Linked DNA regions of Cricetulus griseus. The protein of the gene in region 1 purifies or fractionates together with the protein of each later gene. This does not show direct contact. Links are inferred from orthologs where the notes say so. Each region holds a gene or a part of one and is shown in the gene's direction. Other genes may lie near its edges. The genes, in order: Bsg, Atp2b4 and Gnpat.

What was found.
Region 2: the proteins of Bsg (region 1) and Atp2b4 purify together in Homo sapiens (affinity purification with mass spectrometry; 3 studies listed by BioGRID and IntAct, counting the BioPlex papers as one, with this or other methods). This does not show direct contact. The link is inferred for Cricetulus griseus from reciprocal best matches to the Homo sapiens genes BSG and ATP2B4.
Region 3: the proteins of Bsg (region 1) and Gnpat purify together in Homo sapiens (affinity purification with mass spectrometry; 3 studies listed by BioGRID and IntAct, counting the BioPlex papers as one, with this or other methods). This does not show direct contact. The link is inferred for Cricetulus griseus from reciprocal best matches to the Homo sapiens genes BSG and GNPAT.

The regions. Positions count from the first base shown.
Region 1 is NC_048598.1:100,520,527-100,523,107, forward strand, and holds the end of Bsg (basigin), read left to right. Parts: intron 1-84; coding exon 85-224; intron 225-496; coding exon 497-773; intron 774-1,187; coding exon 1,188-1,212; intron 1,213-1,456; coding exon 1,457-1,520; 3' UTR 1,521-1,969; downstream 1,970-2,581.
Region 2 is NC_048598.1:55,393,724-55,397,475, forward strand, and holds the start of Atp2b4 (plasma membrane calcium-transporting ATPase 4), read left to right. Parts: upstream 1-1,313; 5' UTR 1,314-1,689; intron 1,690-3,752. UniProt on the Homo sapiens protein: Calcium/calmodulin-regulated and magnesium-dependent enzyme that catalyzes the hydrolysis of ATP coupled with the transport of calcium out of the cell. By regulating sperm cell calcium homeostasis, may play a role in sperm motility.
Region 3 is NC_048596.1:201,628,814-201,632,283, forward strand, and holds part of Gnpat (dihydroxyacetone phosphate acyltransferase), read left to right. Parts: intron 1-702; coding exon 703-782; intron 783-1,395; coding exon 1,396-1,536; intron 1,537-2,468; coding exon 2,469-2,568; intron 2,569-2,648; coding exon 2,649-2,742; exon of another isoform or gene 2,743-2,770; intron 2,771-3,470. UniProt on the Homo sapiens protein: Dihydroxyacetonephosphate acyltransferase catalyzing the first step in the biosynthesis of plasmalogens, a subset of phospholipids that differ from other glycerolipids by having an alkyl chain attached through a vinyl ether linkage at the sn-1 position of the glycerol backbone, and which unique physical properties have an impact on various aspects of cell signaling and membrane biology.

The DNA.
Region 1 (2,581 bases):
GTAACCTGGGTAGCTAGGGTGTGGTTGGGGCGCGGGGCCGAAGCAATTTGCAGGCTTGGGCACCAGGCTCTCCCCTCATCCCAGGGCCACCCAGGATCAAGGTCGGGAAGAAGTCAGAACATTCCAGTGAGGGAGAAAATGTGAGGCTGATCTGCAAGTCTGAGTCATCTCACCCCCCTGTCACTGAGTGGTCCTGGTTTAAGACCTCTGACTCTGGGGACCAGGTGAGAGCTGTGGTGGGAACATGGGGTTCTGGCAGTGGCGCAGCAGAAGGGGGTCCAGGGCTCTAGGAAAGGGAGAGTTGTAATGAGAGACAGTGGAGGGCTGTGGTGGACACAGTACTTAGGGATGAAAGGGGGTGGGGAGACGCGGGGCTGTTATGGGACATGAGGCTTCAGGGATGACTGACAAAAAGGGTTCATGGAGGGGTATTGTGGGGCTCTTGGAAGAGTGAAGGAAGGGCTATGGTAGAACATGACGAGCCCCTCTTCCCCAGCTGATCACCAACAGCTCTGAGAGCAAGTACGTCGTGATATCCACAGCTGACAGATCAGAGCTGACCATCAGCAACCTTGACATAAATAGTGACCCTGGTACCTACATGTGTAACGCCACCAACACCCAGGGCAGTGTCCAGGAGATAATGACACTGCGTGTGCGAAGCCGCCTAGCAGCCCTCTGGCCCTTCCTGGGCATCGTGGCTGAGGTCCTGGTGTTGGTCACTATCATCTTCATTTATGAGAAGCGACGGAAGCCGGACCAGACCCTGGACGGTGAGCATCCCTGGGTCTGGGTGAGTGGGTGGGACACCCTCATTGTGTCCACCTGGGGGAGAAACGTGATCTGCTCCTGGCTCATCGTCCTTTCTCCTCCTCCACTTGGCCACAAGCTAGTCTCCTCTGTGGTGAGCTCTCCCCAGTGGCTCAGACAGCAGCTGTGTGGGGCTTCGAGCTATGGGTGCCTCCAGCGGTGGGCTGCACAGCGAGCGTGGGGTTTGGGATGTGTTGGCCCCGCCATGTGCTGATCACCAAATGCATGACACCTGTGCATCACCTTGAGGGTGGCAATGCAGGGCAAGGTTCAAGCAAGCCCGACTGAGGGAGGGACCGCTGCTGGAAGAACCTTAGTGGGTACTGACACCTGTCTCCCTCCCCCCCCCTCTCTCATGTGGTTGCTCATCATCGCAGAGGATGACCCTGGTGCCGCCCCACTGTAAGTCCAGCTCACTGCGAGCCCTCGGGGGAGCTGCTATTGTCCTGTAGGAACGGGGGAGGGGGTGTCCAATAGAGTGCATCCATCTTTCATGGCCTCAGTGGATTCAGGGAAGGTAGATGGCTCCTATTGGAACAAAAGGCAGCTTGCAGACTCTGGCTGGGGGGGGGGGGGGGGGCGTTGGTGGTGGTGGTTGAGGCCAGCCCTGAGCCTCAGAGTGCTGAACCCTTTTCTGTATCCTCAGGAAGGGCAGTGGTCATCACATGAACGACAAGGACAAGAATGTACGCCAGAGGAACGCCACTTGAGTGGCAGAGTAGGCGGGGTGGGGGTAATCTGGGCGCCTAACCCCAGCCCAGCATCTACCTCCACTCCCATACTGTCCTATCCTGTCCTAACCCGTATCTATCCACCCCAACCTCCTATCCCAACCTGGGTGAAGACAGAGCCTCGCCTTGCAGAGTAAGCCCACCTGGAAGAAGCAAGCCACCCGCAACACCCGTTTCTAGTTTAAACGAGGTTTCTATACAGAGAATTCGTTCATTAGGGGTTTCTGTTGTTTTCGATTTTTCCCTCCCTTTTTAGTAGTGTCACTACTGCCCTGTAGAGTGGGGGAGTGGGGCCTTGTCCTTGTCCATGAGGCCAGGCCAACCTCCCGGCTCCACCACCTACTCCTCTGTATGGGACTGCCCATCCCCACCATGGGCAACATGGGCTGGGTCTGCTGGGACTCCACAAATAAAGACCTACCCCACCATGTGTGTGTTCACTGTGGTTTCCCAAAGCCCATCTTTATGGGATAGTGAGCGTTGAGATCAGGGACGGCTTGAGATGTGGGCAGTAGTTCTCAACCTTCCTGATGCAATGACCCTTCCAACCAACCATAATTCATTAAGATTTATTTGTTTGTTGGTTGGTTTTTCAAGATAGGGTTTCTCTGTGTAGCCCTGGCTGTCCTGGAACTTGTAGACTAGGCTGGCCTGCCACTGCCACTGCCACTGCCACTACCTCCTGAGTGCTGGGATTAAAGGTGAATGCTACCACCCCACCATAAAGTTATATTCACTGCCACTTCATAACTGATTTTACTACTGTTAAGGAATCATAATGTAGATATACGAATGCAACCCTGTGAAAGTATCCTTTGACACGCAAAGGAGCTGAGAGCCACACTGGCCGAGTATGTCTGAGCAAAGTTGGCCTCTTGAGGGCACTGTTGACCACCGCTGGTGTCCTGTGCTGCCCTCTGGCCTAGTGTGCTCGGTTGTGGGAAATGGACGCCACCTGGGGGCCACAGGATTGACAGCTTCAAGCCGAGCTGGTTTTCATGCTTAAGTTTTGAGCAGGAGTTGGAACAGGTGTGCATGTG
Region 2 (3,752 bases), about 45 Mb from region 1:
TGTAGTTATAGCTGGCCTGGCTCCCACTGTGTAGCCCAGGCTGGCTTCAAATTCCTAACAGTCCTTCTGTCTCAGCCTTCTGCTTGCTAGGATTACAGGTATACTCACCATGCCTGGTTAGGTACTGGAGCATTTTTGAAGCTCTATTAATAGGTTGGGGAACCGTAATAATCCCCTTCTTCCCCTATACAGTACTCTATAACCTGTGAGGTTGTGTTAGCCTGCCTTTCATAAGCATGTAAACATGAGTGAGTATGTCTGCTGAGGTAGGTGTGGGAATGTATCCGTCAATGAAGATGTGTTGTGTGAGCCAGCTGATGGTGCATGTTTGTACTTGAAAGCCATAAGGTTCCATGCAAAAGCTATGGGTGGCACTGTTGCACAATGCTGGTGGGTGTGTGGCACGGGGGTGTGATTAACAGTTTATAGGCTGTGTCTAAGTGTGTACGGATGTCTCAGTGTGTACGCGCTAGGATGGAAATGTGTGACATAGTATGATACAGGGATAGGGAAGCACATAGTCTCTGGAATGGGTCTGATCTGACTTGCCCCTGAATCCTGGCTGTCATTAACCAGATGGGTAACCTTGAGCAAGTCGCTCAATCTTTAATTTCCTCAACCATGAAACCAGGACAGTAATGAGTACCTTTTTGAGACTGCCACCAGGGCTAAAAACGATATTGTAGATGCAAAGATTTGGGTGTTCAGCCACACACAGGCGAGCAGCCATTCTATGCCCTGTGGACATGCCTTTGGTTGGGTACACAAGCAAGAGAGAGCAAGATGTGACCTGGGTCTGAGGGTGAGGAGGCACCTATGTGTGTGGGCACCCTGAGCAATTGCCTCGTCTTTGACAGTGAACTCCCAGTTCAGACTGGGTCAGTAGGGCAGATGCCCACAGCCTCCTGAGGTTTCGTGGTCCTGAGTCTAAATCAGTATGAGAATGAGAGGCCTGGAGGAGCTGCAGGAAACAGAATGGCTTGCAGACACTTCCTTTATTTCCCCTCCACGCAGCAACGGTTGAAGACCGCTGCCCACATCCATTCCCACCTCCACCCACACCCACGCCTGCTCTGCTCCCCTTTCAACAAGTAAGAACCAGCGCTGGGAGAAAGCCAAGAGGGCAGAGGATTCCCCCTACCCTTCCCCATTCCCCCTTAAGACGGACCAAGAAGCATCATTCCGCCGCGCCTTGCTCTCGGGCTACCTTAAGAGCTGAGCAATGCTTTGGCCTCCCGCCAAACCCCACCCCCGCCGGCTCGCGCTCCGCCCCTTTCTCCTCCCGCCCTGCTGGGGGAGAGCTGGGGAGCCCCAGTCTGGCCAGAGTTGGCTGGAGCTGTTGCCATGACAAGCATTTTCTTAAGACAGCTCTTCTGTTGAGACCGTCCTAGGCTGGGGGTGGGGTGGGAGTACGAACTTCCTGGGGGACCATCCCTCCGAAGACGGCGAGGTCAGACACCCGCCCAGCTCCCTGCACCCATTTTCTTCCAGGAAGGTCCTTCGCGTGGAAGGGCTGGGGAAGAAGACTCAGTCCACTCCCCCAGCTGTGGCCAGAGAGCAAAGCCAGCATCACTAGGTGGTTTGCCACACTGGGGAGAGCGGTGGGTGGTCACCCCACCCTACTCGGTCCATGGAAACGCTGAGGGAGAGTCCCGCTTGGAGACACCTGAATCTTTGCTAGAAAGAGAGGTAGGTTTGCAGAGAATGAATTGACTCTGGGATTTGCAAACTTTGTTTCTTTCTTTCCTCTCAATAGCTTCTCAAAGTATCCGAATTTCCTCATGCTAGCAAATTCTGGGAGGGTGGGGTGGTGGAATAGGAGACAGAGGTGGGGGGAGAAAATGAGAATGTCTTCAACACTGTATTCTTCCCTGGGTTCTGAAGAACCATCTAATCAAACAAGTGATCCCTTTGCGTTTTCCTCTGGATCATGGGATGGGTGGGGAAATGGAGGGACTGCCTTTTTCTCACCCAAATTAAGCTCTCGGAACAAGTATTTATTCCAGCCGACCCCCATCCGCTCCTGCTCTCCCCCTCCCCCTCGGCTTGGGAACCAGCCGCAGAATGGAAAACTGTTGCGGAAAAAAAATATTTTCCGCGTCTGTTCCCTTTCTCGAAAGCCCCAAAGAGAGATGGGAAAAATAGGACCAAATAAATCTTCAGCGGGAAGGAAGGCCTTAGCGCCAAGGAGGGAGCTCACGGGGGGGGGGGGGGCGCATAAGGTGGAGATAGGCTAGGAGAAGTTGGAGGGTGAGAACCAGGAGTGCACAAATTAAATTTCTTTGGCTTTGCATAGAAACCTCAGCAGTTTCTCTCTGCGGCTTACAAAACATCCTCAGACTTTGACGTCTATAATTAGCTGTGGAAAAAGCTGGGAGTTCCCTCTCACTGCTGTTGTTTGAGTGAGCGTAAGCGTCCAGAACCAACTGTATGAGTGTCTCTAAGGGCACCGCCCCACGCATCTCTGATTCTATAGGGAAGGAAAGAGAAGGGGCACACTGAAAAGTTTTCAGTTTCAAGCCCCAGGCTGTGAGGTGGCCGGCTTGGGCCTCTGGCATCTTGAGAGGGTCCCTGAACAGATCGCTTTAGAGATAGACACTAAGGCTGGAGTTGCTCCCTCTTTCTCCTCTCTCCCTGTTTTGGTAGTGCGGGCCGGCTGGCGTCTTTCCTTGAGATGAGTCCAGCCTATACTCTGGTCCACCTCTAGAAGAATGCCTACTTGCTTCTCTCCAGCCGCGTGGGGAGATGGGAGGAGGGGCCCAGCAAATCCTGCGAGCAGGGAGAGCGCGCCCTGGCCGGAGGCATCTTCTTCCAGGGTACTCCTGCAGGACGCACAATGCCCTCCGGATCTGATGCTGGCCAGGTGGGCTGGTCGGGTGTCAGGTGAAGAAGTCAGGCGGCTGCTGTGACGCTGAGAAGGAAAGAGAAGTGGGGAGGGAGGGAAAACGAATTCCCGTTCTGCAGGCCATCTTTTCCTCCAGTTGGGGTGTGTGGCAGGGAGTCTTCAGATTCACTCCTTCCATGCTTGACACCCCCACCCACCCACATGAACTCCCCTTGTTCCTGGCTCTTCCCACTTAAGAGACCCTTTCCTATAGCACCCCCCTGGTCTGGGATCTCCTTATCTGGAAGGGAGGAGACCAGGGTTATTTCGGGCTGGGACCAGCATGGCAAGGGGCCTAGGGGAGAGAAGAATTTCAAAACAGGAGGACCCTATAATGTGGGCTATGAGAAAAGCCTTGCTGAGAACCTGAGGAAGAAATAGAAGGAGAGGTTAAAAGGTAGCCAGGGAAGCCACCAGAGCGAGCTTTCATTTGCAGGTGTTTGGTAATGGATCAGACCCTTTGGCCACTCTACCCCACCTGTGGTCTGATCCCAACAAGAATTGGTGCCCTTCTTCTATCGGAAGGGGAGGCGGGAATCCCGGGGGAGGGACCAATTCTGGTGGATAAGGATGGCTGCTGCCTGAGGTGTCTGCTTAGCGCGCACTAGGGTGCCTGTTCTAATGGCCATGTGTCCTGGGTCTTGGGCAGCTGGGGAGACCGCTTTTCAGCCCAGCTGTACCCCCACCTCTCCGAGCCGTGAGAACTGCAGGGTTGGGAATACTGCAGCAGAAGCTGGATCCCTCCCGTCTAGCAGCGTCTGTGACCTGCCCTATTGTCAGCCTCTCAGCAGCCCGGCTCCACCCTCTGGCATGGCTCTGCCCTAGTCTGAGTACTCAGAGGAGAACGGACTTAGATGTGGTAGAGGCT
Region 3 (3,470 bases), on another chromosome or scaffold:
CCATATGCATGTTTGGTGCATTCAGTATCCTTAGACATACACACACAATAAACTAGCACTAGCTGTGCCTGTTAAAAATAAGGGCAGTTAGATCCAGAGAGTCCTATAATTACTAGAGAGGCTCCGAATTAGGAACACCATTGCCCAGGTCCTGGTCCGATGCAGTTTTTGCTGTGACAGCCCTAGCAGAGGCAGATAGGACACCACCACTGTCACTGTACAATGCACAGTGGTGTCAGATCACAATGAGGTGAAATGAGTTATGCAGGCTGGGCCTACCTAGATCTGCCTGAGGATAATGGGGTTCCACCCCAGAGAATATCCTTCAGTTTGTCTCGGGGGCACACCTTGGTGTGTGTGTGTGTGTGTGTGTGTGTGTGTGTGTGTGTGTGTGTGTGTGTGTGTGTTGACCCAGAAACACAGTCACAGTAAAGAAATGGTAGACAGGAGAATAGGAGGCAGCTGAGGAAATTCTAAGGATGATGGCATCTTGCCCATTTCTAGATTGAGGGATTTGAGGCCTTGTTTAATTCAGCCCTTTTAAACTCTGCTGGACTCTAGTCTGTCCTTCAGATAAACTTTGGGTTAACTTCAGCTTCCTTTAAGGACTTAATTATTTCCTTGTTACATTCGTACACACACATTTGAAGGACTACAAGATCAAAAGCTATGTCTTAATGTTGTGAAATGGGTTCTTTCCAGAGGATGTCTTCAGTTGCTTTTCCTTTCTACGCAACGTGTTTTCAGATGAGTTCATCTTCCTTCCAGGAAACACACTCAGGGTAAGTTCTGACAGCTCAGAGCAAGCATGCCACGGTGCATGTTCCAGAAGTGAGGATCCCTGGCATGCTCCAGCACAACAGCACATTTCCTCTGAGAGTGGGCCTGTGGCGGGCCTGCCTGGCAATGGGACAGCTGTGTGGTCTGTGGCTTTGCTGGTATGGGCAGAGGCAGGCAGATAGACAGAAGGTGCTATATGTGTGTTAAGGAGAGGGTTTTCCTGTGCTCTGTGGGAGTTGGGTTGGGAGAAGTGAGGACTGGCAGGTTTTCTGGTTTTGCTATTAAATTTAAGGAAGTGTTTCAGTGTCAAGTGAAGAACACCTGGTGTGTGTGTGTGTGTGTGTGTGTGTGTGAGAGAGAGAGAGAGAGAGAGACAGAGACAGAGACAGAGACAGAGGGGGGAGGGGGAAAGGGAGGGAGAGAGGGAGATTCTGTCTGTCTTGTCTCCCGGGCCACAGCTTCACAGATGCTGTATTTTTACATGTTTGAGGGTTGGCACTTGAGTGTGGGAACAAATGCTCCCAGCTTCAGTGCATAGTCAGGTGGTCCTGCGGAGCTGTGGGCCTAGTGATGTTGGGGTACACATACATATGTGCCTCCCCTTTCCCTTTCTAGGACTTCGAGGAAGGCTGTTACTTGCTGTGTAAAACTGAGGCTATACAGATGACTGGGAAGGCCATCATCATCACAAATAAAGGGAATGCTGTGTTAGAATTTCTCATAGGGCTCTTTAAACCTTTTGTAGAATCATACCAGGTATGTGAAGTTTGCAAATGCTGAATATCTCCACATTAGTATTGTAAGACTTTATTCCTGAAATTACTTCTGGTGTGGGGGGTGAGCATGTGCCAGTTGAATAGTGGGCCCAGATAAGTAAGTTCCATGTCTACTCAGGGACAAGCAGGAGGGGCTGGGCCTGTCATTTTCTGAGGGTAGCACCCCTGTGAACCCATGATTGCACACAGAACTACATTCATGCTGTGTCTTCCTGTGTTCTTTGTATGGCTAATGTTGATACAGAGTGGTCACTAAGTGAGCACAAGACTTGAATGCCTTCTCCTTTCATTGTACTGAACACTCACTCTGCTTCCAGAAGAAAAAGAGCAAGATCCTGCACAGACACCCAGGAAAGAGCATAGGACTGGTTTCAGACACTGCACTGCGGCAGTATTCTAGGGAGGGAGGGAATTTGAAATGCATATGGTTGGGTATATAGGCATTTCAGAAAAGAGGCATCTGTGACTCTTAACTCATTGCTTATATACTGACTGTGAGCACCTGTGATGGGTGGACAATGGTGACTAATCCCAGAGCTGACCTCGTCCCACACTTCCCACAAAGTCTAGCATGGGATGGGCACTTGATAAACTGGGAATCAGCCAGTGCTTGAGGGCCTGCACTCTGTGCACTCAGAAGGACGAGTAGGTCCTCTCCCCAGGCAGCCCAAGATATGAAACTGGAAGTGATTGTCTTGCAATCAGCTGAGATGAGAAATTAAACTCTTGACAAATGTCATTTCAAATTGTCCTTTTCTAATTGTAAAAGCTGCTGAAAGTTCAAAAGAGCTATGTTAGAAGTTCTGCAGATTGTGGAGGTGTTATTCTTAATGAGGGCAATTTGGCCATCATGCTCTTGTATTTGGCTACCCCCTTTCTCTGTGTTCCATTCATTCTCCCTCTTGAAATCAGATAGTTTCCAAATACCTCTTACATGAAGAAGAAGACTGCTTCACTGAGAAACAGTACTTGGTTGCAGTTAGGAAGTTCACCAGTCAGCTTCTAGATCAAGGTCAGTCACATCTCATCTCTGGGTGGTGGTTTCTCAGCTAAGAATAGGAATGATCGTTTGCCCTCTTCCCCTCTTTGCAGGCGCCTCTCAGTGTTTTGATGCACTGTCTTCTGACCTGCAGAAAAATGCCTTAGCAGCTTTTGTGAGACTCGGAGTGGTAGAAAGGAAGAAGGTGTAAGTACCAGGTGCTAATGGGGTCAAGGTGAGGAATGACACTGAAGCCCAGGACCCAGTGACACAGGAATGTGTCTTTCATGAAGTACAGTGCTGTTTCTTTTCCTCTTGCCCTCAAGATCAGATCAGTACAATTTTCCAGGGAACCTCCATGTCACAAAATTATGAATGAACTCTAGCCCAGGTTTGGCTTGACCTTAGACTGCATTTCCTAGATTAATTACAGAAAAGAGTATAGGTAATGTGTGTGGGTGTGTACATGAATGTATATAGATGAAGAAAGACAGATCTCCTAACTGAATGAGTATCCCAGTGATAAAGTTGAAGCCAAACTCAGAATTGTATCCTATGTGATCAGAAGGTAGGGGTGTGTGTGTGTGTGTGTGTGTGTGTGTGTGTGTGTAGAGCAGTGGTTCTTAACCTTCCTAATGCTGTGACCCTTCAATACAGTTCCTCATTTGTGGTGACCCTAACCATAAAATTATTTCATTGCTACTTCATAACTGTAATTTTGCTGCTGCTGAGTCACAATGTAAATATCTGATATTTGATCCCTGTGAAAGAGTTAGGAGGTGTGACCCACAGGTTGAGAACCACTGGTAATAGCATCTCCTGAATGAGTAAGTATCTTGAAGCCAAACTGTCATAGTTGTGTATCTCCTGTGGTCAGAACAGGAGCACAAAGCCTTTCAGCTACTTCAGACTGGGGCTGTGGCTTAGCATGTGTG